Mytilus edulis: one gene and its partner. The protein of the gene in region 1 purifies or fractionates together with the protein of each later gene. This does not show direct contact. Links are inferred from orthologs where the notes say so. Each region holds a gene or a part of one and is shown in the gene's direction. Other genes may lie near its edges.

Region 1 (6,961 bases):
AATTGTTTATACAAGCTTCGTAAATAAGATTGACATCTTTAAACAATTTATATAGGCATAGTTTAACCTGTATATATCATATTTGAATTTAATTTGGTGTTATCCTAATGATTGTACAATATACAAACAAAGTAAGCAAGCTAACCAAAGTTTTGTTCTACATGCATTAGGAAATTAGCTGTAAGTGTTCCGAGAAGAATGAGTATAGAAATATGACTATCACCATGGACAGCATCATCTTTAGCATTATCTGTTACTTTGATGGTAGGTCAATTGATGTGGAATATTGATCCAAAAGTAAAATCTTTCTATTTTTATTTAATTTCAATTACAATCAAGTTTGACATTGAATCATGTGAGTTTTTTATATATTTCTCATTGTTGAAGGATGTACAGTTGTCTATAATTGTTTACATCCACTTTATTTGATCTTAGGTGGAAAATGGTGGACAGTTGTTTCATTGGCAATGAGCATACCTCATCTCCTTCATTGTCCTTATTCTTAGCTTTGATGCTTTAATACATTAATCACTGCAAAAGGAAATCCATGATATGTTTTATTAATTTTGTATAAATTTGCATTGTGTAATAGATCAAAATTATTCTTTCAGTGTATGTTCACTTGTTTTTGTTAATCTGTCTTTTGATTGAGTTGATATTTCATAGTGTGTGTTTCTATGTTGTGATGTTACACTATGGTTTCAGGTTGGGTGAAGGTAGGCAACTATGCAACATTCAAACCCTGCTGCATTTATTTGGACCTGTCCTAAGTCAGGAACCTGATGTTCAGTGGTTGTCATTTGCTGATGTGGTTCATAAGTGTTTCTGGTTTATTATATAAATTAGACCATTGGTTTACCTGTTTGAATTATTTTACATAACTCAAATCTATTTGGGGCTCTTTATCATACATGTATTTTTAGCTTGCTGTTCAGTGTAAGTCAAGGCCAAATTTGACTTATAGTTGTTTCCTTTTAACACATTGTGAATTGGATAAAAAATTGTCTCATTGGCACTCATATTACATTTTCTTATTTTTATGTTTATCCTAAACATTGTTACATGTAAACATGGTAAAGGGAAACATACCATTGATACTGGTCTGCGATATTTCTTTTTTTGGTTGTTTGCTGGCAACACCATTTTTCCATCCATCGTCCTTGACATTGTTTTCAGAGCTACCGCCATTTGTCCATTTAGCTTTGTTTTGTTCTACATTTCCACGACCTCTGCCCCTGCCGCCTCCTTTCAGATAAACAGGAACTCCAGACATTTTCTATTTTACTTTAGTAACACTGAAATAAAGTCAATGTAAGTGAAACATAGAATTTTTTTTACATATATATATAGCCATTAAACTCAATATCAAATCAAATAATAAAGGAACAACCTAACAGTGTGAATAGATTTCACAGTCAGAGCTCAGACATAAATAAGTCTGAATCTGCTTTTGACTCATAGAGGTCTAAATTTGTAATTTTTAGGATTTATATTTACTGCAAAAGGCTATAAATTCAGTATATATAACGTACCTGAACCTTTGAACAGCATGAAAAGTGTAAAGACAATATGTCCCAGCCTTACCAACCTAGGTTTGCATGCAGTTTGGTAAACACACAAAATCAAATATCAACAAATACTGTAAATTTAGAAATTATTGGGTGCACTTATAATTGCAATCTTGTCATTCATTGTCATTTAAGACTTAAATACGATTTTTATCTTTGCGATATTGAGAAAAATCCTGTTTAATTCATTTAAAAAAATTTAAAATGCAAGTTTTAATCATTGCGATTATAACCCTGTTGCATTTTCGCAATAAAAAAAATTTGTGTTATTATAGGACCTTCTATATTTATTGTTTTAATCGTAACAACCCTGCAGGGGCTAGCTGAAGGAAGCCTCCAGGTGCAGGAATTTCTCGCTGCATTGAGACCTTTTGGTGACCTTCTGCTGTTGTCTGTTCTATGGTCGGGTTGTTGATTCCTTGACACATTCCCCATTTCCATTCTCAATTTTATAGGCCAGGTATCCACTTTAAAACTTTCAGAAAACTACTGGCAGAAGATTTACCAGGCATTATTTCACTTGGGTTTAATTTTTCATATTTTAAATATAAACATGTTTTTTTAAAAGAAAAGGTGTACATGCATATGTAGTGTAATATTTATATGGTTTAATGACATAATTCTATTTGTGAAATGTACTTAAATTGTATATACATTGATATATGGTATACATAAATGCCTCTGGTGCTGTCACGCTAGTGAATATTTTGTTGCAATATTGGGTCTCAAAGTTGACAGCAAAATTCTCTCAAAAGTTGTGTTTGGTCTAGATGTCAAAGCTAAAAATGAATACCTTTTCAAGACATCATTATCAATGATTATTATTTGGGCTAGAGCTAGCTTTTAAACCATATCTCATATGTCCTTATGACATGTATGATTATTTATGACAAATTGTATACAATAGATGGCACCCTGTAAATTGTCAAAAGAATCATGAGAATATTATAAAGACCTCAGAGATACAGTTTAGCAGCTAGAGTGAAGCACCCTAAATGTGTGTTTGCAGAAGAGTATTAGTAAACACACACACACACACACACAAATCTATTGGGAAATATATATATTTTTATAACAAACATAACCAGATAACATTTAACATGTTTAAAATATATAGTACAGCAATACATGTACATGTACCAATAAATAATTATATGCAAAAAGTTAAATTTGCTTTCTGTCAGTCCTTAATAGTCCAAATGATTATGACATCTTTAACCAAGAGTTCCAAATGGTGAAGTAAATATTACTGGTGCCATCACAAGTTGGTTCACCATTATGAAATATCAGTTTCACAGATGATATATATCTGAAAAAATATCGGATATGTTCCTTATGTCATAATATAAACCTGTTCCCTTTTTACGAATGTGACCAACCGATTTCATGTTAATTATTAGAAATCCAGTAAATAGTCTAAATCGGTTGGTCACATTCGTAAAAAGGGAACAATTGAACAACACTGTGGAGCAGGATCTGCTTACCCTTCCAGAGCACATGAGATAACCCTCAGTATTTGGTATGGTTTGTGTTGCTCAATTTATTGTTTTCTATGTTGTGTCTGGTATACTGTTGTTTGTCTGTTTGTCTTGAAATTTTTAAGCCATGGCATTGTCAGTGTATTTTTGTATTTTTGATCTATAGATGAGTTTGACTGTCCCTTTGGTCTTTCGCCTCTCTTTTGAAAGGCCATTTCATTTTATTTTGCTTTTGTGTCTTATGTCACTGAAAGGTGTAAAAAAACACACATGTAATAGCCTTGTGAGACGTTATCATTATTTGGTCTATGTCACAGTGGCGGATCCAGTTGGGGTTCCGGGGGTGCGCACCCCCCCTTTATTTTTGCCGATCAATGCATTTGTATCGGGAAATATGTTTTGCACCCCCCCTTTGCCCTGGGTTAGCACGCCCCCTTTCGAAAATTACTGCATCCGCCCCTGTGTCAGAACTGTGCTCTGACTGTCTGCCACACAGTCTGGCACTGAGTGGCAAAATAAATAAAGTTTCACGAATTGTGCCTACTGCAGTTTTTTATATGTCATAAATGGGTAATTATATAACACTGGGGTTGAATTGAATATTTTGCACTGTTTGCATTGTCACTTACTCTGACATATTGTTAATATACATATATAATTCATTAAAATTTGACAGACTTTCGTCTTCGTGGGCATGAAGTTGTATAAATTCAAAGTCAAACCGGAAAAGAATCGTGGTTCCGAATTTAAAATAGTTGAAACAGGGAACCTGTCCATTATAATTTAAACATTAATGTAATATAGAACAAGTGGAATGTAGTTTATTATATATAACTCTATAAAAATGTATTTATATATAATTTTGAAAATTGTTATGATTATTCATTCACAATAAATTATTAATCTCGCCTCAACGAGAAAACAAAAATGGCGAATTCTAGAAATTGAGAAAAATATTTGACCTTTCAAAACACATTTATTCATTATTGGGTGACTGAATGGACGAAATAAGAAGGGGAGATTAAAAATTCGTATGAGTAATAACGAGAAAACCGAAGATCAGAGCGGAACAAAAGCCGCCAGGTTGGTCTTTGAAGCTCCAAACTGTCAAAATTTGATAGACCAGGTTGACAACCAGAAAATCAAACCGAAAGTTAAGGAAATCCTGACTACGCAATACGCCATTTGTTTTACTAATAAATAAATACACAAGTTCCTCAAAAATTGAAATAACATGGAATGAGTGGTTGACACATTTGACAATGAATCCAAACAAAAAACCAAACAACACCAAGTAAACTTATTTTTTTTGTCATGCAAAATTCCACATTTGGATCTGTTGTTTGTTGAAAGAATTAAGATACAAAATGTATTTGAAAGTTGTAACACATGTCAGTAATATTGCTGACGGTGTTGGTGGTTTCAGTCATGCTCCACTGACATGACTGAGGCCATGTAAACAAGTTGCACTTTTATAAAATTTATATGTAACCCTCTTGCTGCCAGTTGTTTTTCAGGGTTGCATTTCTGACACATGCCAGAAAATATGATCGCTCGAAGTTAATGTGACGTGACATGCCAAACAATGGTTATTAGATATATGATGTCATGCCGTAATGACTGTATTAACATTTGATTGTAGAAACACTTTTTAATTTTCGGTCTTTTATTTTGAAAGAGGTACAGCAATGATGAGAAGCTTGCATACATTAAAACATGGACATATGTGTCCCACCGTCAGCAATACTGTACACCTTATCGCTAATCCCGGCTGACCCGGCCGCTTGAACTTTTGACGCATACAACAATCACTTTTCAATTGTCAGTCAGGGGACTTACTGAAATAAGTGATTTGTAAATCACTTATTTACTGAAATAAGTGATTTATAAATCACTTATTTATAAAGTAGCAAATTCAAAATTTTGTCATAAATTGTGATTTTGTAGTTTTACTAAAATTTTAAACACATAGGTTTAGATAATATGTTTTCATTAGTAAAATTGAAAAAAAAAACTTTTGCTTCTTTAAAGTAGCAAGGTTTATGCCTTTGATGCTATCATTTAGCTGTAAATTCTATTTTATTGGAAAAAATGCTATAATAATGGCTTAACTTAATGAACTGATACTTTATTAACAGATTTTTCCCAGCAGTGGGAGTATTTTTCCTGTAAAGTTCAAGGTTTCATCTTTCAGATTATGTAATAAAATTCTACTGTTCGCGATAAAAATTTCACTGTTCGAGGTTGTTGAAAGTAGTGGGGGTTATTAGAATAATGATACTTAAAGAAGTGATTTTTTGGAAGGAAATTGAGGTATGATACTTAAACAAGTGATTTTTATGTCATTATCCCAGATTCAGTACAAGGTCATCATCTGACATGACCTGGTCATCCTAAACAACACAGATGTTGGTTCTGATAAGTTTAGAAACATAATTAGTCCCTGGATCATTAATATTCTATATTTAAAACTACAATAAAATTAAATCACTTATTCTAGTGATAAATTTGTACTACTTAAATAGGTGATTATTAAAGAAAGACAACTCTTACTTTCAACCTCTATGAACATAATGTTACTTGAATCAGTGATTTAGAAAATCACTCATTTAAGTAAGTCCCCTGACTGATTGTGGTGTCAGATATTTTTTTTTGTGACGTCAAAATTTTACGGAAACATGTGATATACAGTAATGGCAGACAAATAGCAATAAGGTGTATAGGGTTAAAGAGCCTTTGTCATGTTTGTTGTTTACAGTTGGTTTGATAAGGCTCTAAAATGGCCCTCTTTTCCCCTTAAATTTCAAATTATGAATTTATTGACCAATATATCAACAAGATAATAGTGTAATTTTGAGAATTTCATATAAAAAAATGCCCAAAATTAGCAAATTTTAATCATTGTTAATTGTTTACAAAGAAAAATAATAAGATGAGGCAGGCATTACCTGTGAATGGGGACGAATTCTGTATGATTTAAAAAAAAATCAAACATGTTAAAAAGAGAAACGGAAATATCGTTTCCGATTTTGGTTCTGTTGTAAGGGATTTTAGTTGTGACGTTTTTTAAGTCATGACGTCATATTCAATGTAATCAAAGAAATGCTGTCAGCAGGTAATTTTTTTTTTTTTTTATAACAAACAATTTTTAAAAACGAATTAGTATTAATATAAGTTCCTTTCTTAGACATGTTAGACTGATTAATATACATTTTATTCAAAGTCTCATGCAAACAAGACCGGAAACGGAAGTAGATTTCTTCGCAAATCTGGAAATTCAAAACACAAGAAATTTTTTTTTGAATGATTTTGAGTTCATTAGGTACAATGAAAAATTCGGGAAATTTTCCCGATTTTAAAAAAAAAATTTTTTATTGAATTTTCTACTGTAATGGGGGACTTTGTCCCCATATTAAACATTTGTGTCAAAAGATGAACAAACTGTGAACATGGTGTACATGTAAGTGAATAAAATGAAGAAAAAAAATAAATACAGACAATATTTAATATGAAGGGCCACTTGTGTCATAATAGGCAGGCAAGCCATCATCTCGGGTAGATTCTGTCAAGGCAGCTGGAAGGGATAAGACAACTTAAACATTGTTAAAACATATTTGATCTTGTACCATTCAATTTAATAATCACAGCCAAATACAGCCCTTGCTGAACTTACTTCTTTTAATATTTACCTACATTTTCTTATTCTTATCTTCATGATCATATACCATGTATACATGTATATGTTTAGAAAGATTTTGTTACCTCAATCTGTTTTATTCACAACAATGATAGTTTTTATACGACCGCAAAAATTTAAAATTTTTCTCTTATATTTGAGTGTGAATTCACATTACTACATGTACTATAAGACGTATCAGGGTACTTATCTATCCCAAATTCATGTAATTGGTTTTG
Region 2 (7,566 bases), on another chromosome or scaffold:
CAAAGCATGGGTTGTTCTCAGCTTAATAAAGAATATTCCGATAATTTTACCTTTTTTAGCCTCGCTCTACTCTGGGAACAGTATATCTAATATATTATATGAATATATATGTTCCTGCTCTGCTCGGCGAAAATTTAAGTTTGTGTCCCTCCTTACCTAAAATGCTGGATCTGCCCCTCATATGGTTTAGGGGTGGGGAGCTCGACCGTTTCCAAGTTATCAAACAGGAGGGGGTGGAGTGGCCCAAAGAATTCCACCTATATATCATATGATTCACTTACATTTAGGTATATATAATATTGTTGCATTATTTGTGAAAATAAAGAAACTTTCAGCTACTTTAATTGACCCTTCAAAATTGAGAAAAAAAAAATAACCCTTCGAAATTGCAGTAATATGTTTACACTTTAAAAGCATCTCACATGCATTATCATCATTTATCACTGATAAAGAAAATTTTAGACTGTGACCATGAACATGTATATTGTTAGATATACTGTTCCCAGCTGTCACATTGTATTGGATTTTTAAATTAAAATTTGTCAAAAAGTAATTTTGAGTTTCTGTATAAAATATTTTTCTGCTTTTTCTTTCTTTTACATATATCTTTTGGTTTACAATTCTAGTGTCTATATTCATTTAAATACCATGCATAGATTTATTTTTTCACCTGCTTTGAATGATCGCCAAACCCGGAATTTTCCTTATCCGCTTCCGGAATCGGATCCTATATTGTAAAATTTTGTCTTCACGGTCGCCATTGTTGTGTTTACAATGTTGTTTTTGTCAATCAGATACGATTTTACTCGAATTTATACAATATTTGTCGGCGAATTTCTGTATAAAGCTAGCGGTTGAACAAAATGAACATCGCTGTCATGAATAATAATGATAAAAATAAGTTTTTAGCTCGTTTAATTGGAGACTTTGGTGACTTGCATGGAGGGTTTGCAAAGTAATTTCTTATTTTCTTTCAAGTGGAAGGTAAGCGTCGGGCGATGCTAGAAACCAACTATCCTAGTCGAAATTCCGCTTGCAAAAGTGGAAGGTCGCGGACCTCGGACCACCGCTAATTTGCACACCTGCCTCCAAATTGAAAAGCTACGAAAATTTCTTTTTCTAATTTGAAATTGCCGCCAACTACTGACGTAATTGTACTACGTATTGATGACAAACAATATCCCTACGACTTTTGCCATTTGGGAAATCTAAACTACTTGTCTTAAGAGATTTTCGGCGATTAAATATTTCATACAATTGTTCTTTGACATCTTAGCTAAAAGCACAAGTCATAATGAACTACACAAGGATTCTTAATAAGCACTACTTCCTACGTGTAACTTCAAAACTTTTGGATAAATCGACGATCATTTAAGGTTTTTCTGGTCATATTTTTTGTAATCCAGAATAAAAAGTATTAAAAAAGTGTTCAATTAGTTATATATAACATAGTAGCGAGCTAGATAATAACAATGGAAAGTATTTCACCATTTATTGGGTAGAACACAAATCTAGGGTGCTCGCATAATGCAGCTTAACTGCATAAAAATCATTTCTAGTTTATCTTTTCCTTTGATCATGATCATCTGGTTTACTATTTCTGAATCTGTAATTTGCATTGTATAAAAGTAACATCCCAGGGTCAGATTAATAAATTTACAAAATTGTATCTTAAAAGATAATCAAAGGGCAGATTGCTCTGAGGAATACTATTGTCATTGTTTTCATTGACACATGTATTTATTATTTCAAAAATAATTCAACTGCACGTGTAAAAGAGGGACGAAAGATACCAGAAACTCATAAATGGAAAATAAACTGACAACGCCATGGCTAAAAATGAAAAAGACAAACAGACAAACAATAATACACATGACACAACATCGCAGTACTTATCACCTATTTTCCTATGTGAATTCTAGGTTGAACCCCATTCCTAACTCTTTTAATATTTAATTTCCTTTGGGTCAGTGGGCATTCCTCTGTTTAAATTGCGATTGGTTTTAATATAATACAACGTCTATCAACAGAAAGATTTTTTTTCTTGACGTATTGTCGTTGACAGATACTTACAGAAGCTAGGGAGACTAGTTGAGGGAGACAACACGAAGCGATAATATGGAAGACTCCATTTTGGCTGAAGGTGTGTTCTTATAACATCTTTACGTTGTGGACTACATTTCTTTTAATTTCAATGATGCATAAGATTTAAAATTATGCAACAACAATAACCCTCAATAGCAGACAGACATAGAAAGGATCTCGTGAGTTGGGAATCTAGAGCAACCATTCAATCTGATACCCTTTCAAGTCAAGAAAACTATATGCATGCGCATAATTACCTAAACAAACTAGACTTGTGATTTGTAGCAAGGACATATATAAAATGTTAATAAAACGACCTCCATTTCCATGATTTCTTTATGGAAGTACAATATCAAATATCAGTTTCATAACGGTGAGGGCATGGGCCTGAGTCAATGGTATAAGTCTACAGATTGCTTAAAAGCAATCCCATCCCAAAAATAAAAGAAGAAATCAATATTAGTCATTATCATTATTTTTTTTAATGTAAAAGAAAACTAAAGAAACAAATATTAATGGAATAAGATGAAATACATACATGTTTGATAAATCATCTCTTAAAATTTTACAAGTCTGATAAACATGATAAAAACTTTATCATCATGATCATAATCAGGCGCGGATCCAGAGGGGGGTTCCGGGGGTTGGAACCCCCCCTTTTTTTTTGGACGATCAATGCATTTGAATGGGGACATATAGTTGGAACCCCCCCCTTTGTCCTGGGTTAGGAACCCCCCCTTTTTAAAATGGCTGGATCCGCCCCTGATAATCATGGCTAAAAGTAAAACTTGTAAACATGGTTAAAATCATAAAGTTATTTTTCAAAGTTATAAAAATGAAAATAAATGAAAATATATACAACACCTTTTCTATAGCATAAAATTATAAACATGATAAATGGGGAATGTGTTCATGGGACCCAGAAGATGCCCCTGCTTGCATATCATTATAAAGGGACATTACTGAACATGCTGAAGAACAGAAAAAGTGACTCTACCAAAATTTGAACTAAATCATGTTAATCTGAGTTTTGTGGTAATAAGACATGTAAGAATTGTGCAAAAGTTTCATAAAATTTGGTTTATGCAAACTTAATTTAGACATGTAAGAGAACAGATACAAAACATTCAGCAATTTTTCCATTCATAAAGGGGCATAACTCTAAAAATTTTAGTGACAACTTTTGTGGTAAGAAGCATAGTGTAAAATTTTCATAACATTTGGTTGAGGGAAACACAAAATTCAGCAATTTTTCCATTTGTCATGTTTGTGAAGGAGCATTACTCTAGAATGGTTAAAGTGAGGCCCCCCCCCCAAATTCAAACTTGATCTTTATTTTGTTGTTTTATTAGCATTGTGTATACATATATACTTAGTAAAGTTGAAGATGAGCTTCATTTCTTATTAGAATGCCCTCTTTATGATATTCAAAGGGACGATTTTTTTAAAGACATTTCTAACAATTGTTGTAATTTTACAAATTTAAATCAATCTTCTAAATTTGTACATGTTGTATGGCTCTTGACCCAAGAAAATGTTACTCTTATGGAAAAACTGGGCTGTTATATTTGTGACTGTTTTGAATTAAGGAGATCAGGTATGAACACTGACACTAAGTCAAGTAAATAATTTGAGAATTAATACATATACATGTATAATGTAATTTTATTATTCTTTTATTCACAATATATACAATGTGTGTGGTTTTTAGCTTGATTCTGACCAACGCTTATATTCCAAATATATATGTATATGCCACTATTGTTGTTGTTACCAATTATGTAAATCAATTGTATCTGATTTTATGCCCTTTATGGGCCCTGTAATTTGGGAAATAAAAATATTCTATTCTTTTCTATTCTATATATGTAAGTTTGATTGCATTTGGTTGAGGCAAACTTAAGTCAGAGAACGGAAATGAAAAATACATAGTCTGAAAATAACACCAAACAGTGTTAGAGTTAGGTTTTCTGCTGATAAATTTTTGTCTGTCCCTCAACAGGATTTTAACTTACACCTTTAATACACTACAGCACCAATTGCTTAGCCTCATGTCCAGTGCTCTAGACCACTCGACCAAATCCGCTGTATAAAAATATAACTTCAATAGTCGTAGTGTTATCTTTTCACAGAAGGCGAATCTAGAGATAGACATAAGACACGTGTAATTTATATATATATATGACATGTAAACTGTACCATGACATAGTCAGCAGATAATTTCCACTGGAACTGTAGTTTTTGATAGCTAATGCAGGAAGAGTTCACCAAACAAACAAGCATATTTGTACAAACAAAATTAAAAAATCAAATTATTTAGTGTTGCATAATTATTCTGCATTACTTTCTTGATCTTCTTTCTTCTTCAAGTTCTTGGTTAAAGAAAAATAAGAAATCTCCCGCAAAATGTAGTTGTTATCAATAATGCAAGAAGAGTTCCGAGCGAATATTTCATCTGGTTGCCGGTCAATGATTACTATGATTCGTGAGACTCAACTCTCCAAGGTACCAGATACAATATTGAATGATGGCTGCCCTCACAGAGTTACCAACCGGTGGTTTTAATTTCGATAATTGCCAGAGGTTTAACTATTTTTAGATATAATAATGATGAATGTTCAAATGACGCCTTTTCAGCATTATCTTTAAATATAAATTTCCCTTCTTTCAGTACCCTGGAAACGATTATCTTCTCATTTGAAAACGACAAGCAATGACTATGCAACTTTGTGTGAAAAAAATATTTATTTGTATACAAAAATGACAAATTTAACGAATTTTCATTTTGATCTACAAGAAAAAAGCTCAGAGGGTTTTCAAATGTGATGATTTCTTCAGCATTGTATATGTATTTTGTGGTGGGAGCTGTTGGTCTTCAAAATTACAGACAATAGACTCTTATTTTTTTTTTATTGTCCAAATAATTTATAATTTTAATGTCTGGCAAAGCTATTTTATTATTTTTCTGTGATGCCGTCCTACGACTTCATAAGGCTGAAGCCATTTTTCACGTCTGGACTTTAAGAGCAAATTTTGGGGGTAACTTTGAGACATAATTTTGACAAGAATTTTTTACATAGTTTCAATGTCCTACCTTTTTTGTGATTATCACTTTTACATTGTGGCGTCAGATGTTTTGTATTATGACGTCAATATTTAAAGGAACCTTTGTGATGTCCAGTAATGGCTGACAAATAGCGATAAGGTGTATTAATACAATAGAAAACCCAATTCAATTAATATTTTACTGAGTGTTTAAAAACCCAATTCATTCAAAGTAGAACCCAATTATTCATGTTATTTATTAAAACTATGCATTCTGCATTTCACAACCCTTTAAGTTGCTGTTACATTCGTTATTTATCTTGAATGATGAATTATTTTTGTGTGATTTATAAATTTCTATTTTTGTATTTTAAAGAAATCTACTTTTTGTTCTTAAAATAGAGCACTTTTAAATAAACCATTGTAATTACTCTGGAGATTTTTGCTCAATTACATGTACTTTAATGTAAATATAAATGAAGCGATAAGGGTTGAGAAGTTACAAATGGCAGATCTAACATGGGTAACTGAGTCCTTGTTTGATTCATTAAACATTTGTCCATTGCTAAAATTTGTAGCTCTTTATTTAAAACAAAAATGCACTATTTCATAAAAATTTTCTTTTTATAACACTAAGGCCAGGGTTTTTTAATTTGTTGGTTTACGGATTTTACCCATGAAAAAGTCGAGTCGGTCGGTCGGAAAAAAAAGAAAAAAAAATATCTTTCAAGACAGAAAAATATGGAAAACAAATATATATTTTATCTTTCTAACAATATGTTTGTGATGCTATTTTATCATCATTTCTTAGATTTTAGTTCGATGAAATCAGCTGTCATAAACATCGCATGACATTCTAATAATTTCCCGTAAACAAAAGGGGGGGGGGGGGGGGGTGCACGTACAAAGAAAATTAATTTCAGAAAACTTGGCGAATTATGATCTTCAAGCACAAAAACTGATAAAGAAAAAAAAATGTAAAAACGTCACGAGTATGAAAGTAAGTTTCAACACACGTGTCAACAAACGTAATAGACTCGTCCACTGGAAAAAACGAGGATATCGGGTTAATCTGTGTCATGCATTACTGTTTTCACAGTGTAGATACTATTCTGTACGCTATCCGGAAGTCGCGATTTTCGAAGCGAGAACTTTTTGGATCACATTTTAAATTTGATAGGTATACTGAATTAAACGGTAAGTTGATCATCTGTACATTGCTTAATGATTAATTCAGCTGGCATCGATATTTTCAAATGGTTAAGAATTAAATTCCGCACAATCATTATTCGTATCTTTGCCTTAATCAAGAGATTTTCAAGTGCATCACTAAGAAAAATCAGTCGGCGAACCTAAACACAATCTTTTTACCCTCTTAGTGTACAAATCAACATAAAAACCTGACTTAATTAACTAAATGAAGTATATTTCAAGTGGTGGTAAAAGTTTCAACCAGATCTTTGAAGCCAGAAATAAGAAAATTACACTTGTTTGAATTTCTCACTGTACGATCAGTCTCGCTTGTATATTTAAAACTGTATGATCAGTCTTTATGTCACTGTATTCTAGTGGTGATTTCAAAGTTATTTACGATACATTAGAAGGTGGCATTTTTCTAAATAACACAAATATATTTCAATGAATTCACATCCTGAAAACTTATGAAACATGTTTTAGCTTTATAGGGTGTACTCGACTTACTACATTAAGAATAAGGATGTTTAAATGTTGCTAAAATAAGAGAAAGGTTTGATGTATACTAGTATATAAGTTTCAGAAATGTCCTCCGTTATTCTTAAAATTGTACAAACACACAGATTTAGTTGTTATATAAAAATGCATGTATTTACACACATTCGAGGCCGTACTGTAGCCAATAATTGATCACAGATGTAGAGCTGTCTCTTTGACACTCAATTGTCCACCACTTTGTCAAGCGGGGGGTTATAGTGATAAAGAATTCCGTCTTTCCGTTCGTCCGTTGGACCGGTACAATATGTTTCGCCAGTTTGGTAAGCGCATCTTCTCATAAATAACTTAATATACATTGGGGGTTCCGGCCATTTTTAAATGGAGAGGGGATCCAATCCAGGAGAAAAGGGGATTCCATTTATGTTATCATAAATGATAATGACTGTATTGTGAACCGTCTATTTCAAATTTTAGTAAAAATCTTGTATGGGGTTACTTTATATAAGATACGGACTTGAACATTGCATTATATGGGGACACCCATCAGGTATTTCCAACACCTCCTAAACCAATCATTAAACTTTTCTGAAATTGCTCCATTTTTACTCGATTAATGCATTATGGACCTTCTATTTCTGTAAACTTACCAAAATTATATCACATGAATTATCCCCCTACGCAAAGCTGTCTTTATCCATTTTTTGTTATTTTAAAAGAGACAATCTTGATTTATGTTATCATCAA

Evidence for each region. The genes of interacting proteins can lie anywhere in the genome.
Region 2: the proteins of ubiquitin-protein ligase E3A-like (region 1) and proteasome subunit beta type-7-like purify together in Homo sapiens (affinity purification with mass spectrometry, with the first as the bait; 3 studies listed by BioGRID). This does not show direct contact. The link is inferred for Mytilus edulis from reciprocal best matches to the Homo sapiens genes UBE3A and PSMB7.

Annotation. Positions count from the first base shown.
Region 1 is NC_092351.1:84,602,450-84,609,410, forward strand, and holds the start of ubiquitin-protein ligase E3A-like, read left to right. Parts: upstream 1-3,947; 5' UTR 3,948-4,079; coding exon 4,080-4,129; intron 4,130-6,961. Other genes in the region: NF-X1-type zinc finger protein NFXL1-like, read right to left, coding at 1,090-1,273. UniProt on the Homo sapiens protein: E3 ubiquitin-protein ligase which accepts ubiquitin from an E2 ubiquitin-conjugating enzyme in the form of a thioester and transfers it to its substrates.
Region 2 is NC_092345.1:65,567,820-65,575,385, forward strand, and holds the start of proteasome subunit beta type-7-like, read left to right. Parts: upstream 1-4,558; 5' UTR 4,559-4,609; coding exon 4,610-4,668; intron 4,669-7,566. UniProt on the Homo sapiens protein: Component of the 20S core proteasome complex involved in the proteolytic degradation of most intracellular proteins. This complex plays numerous essential roles within the cell by associating with different regulatory particles.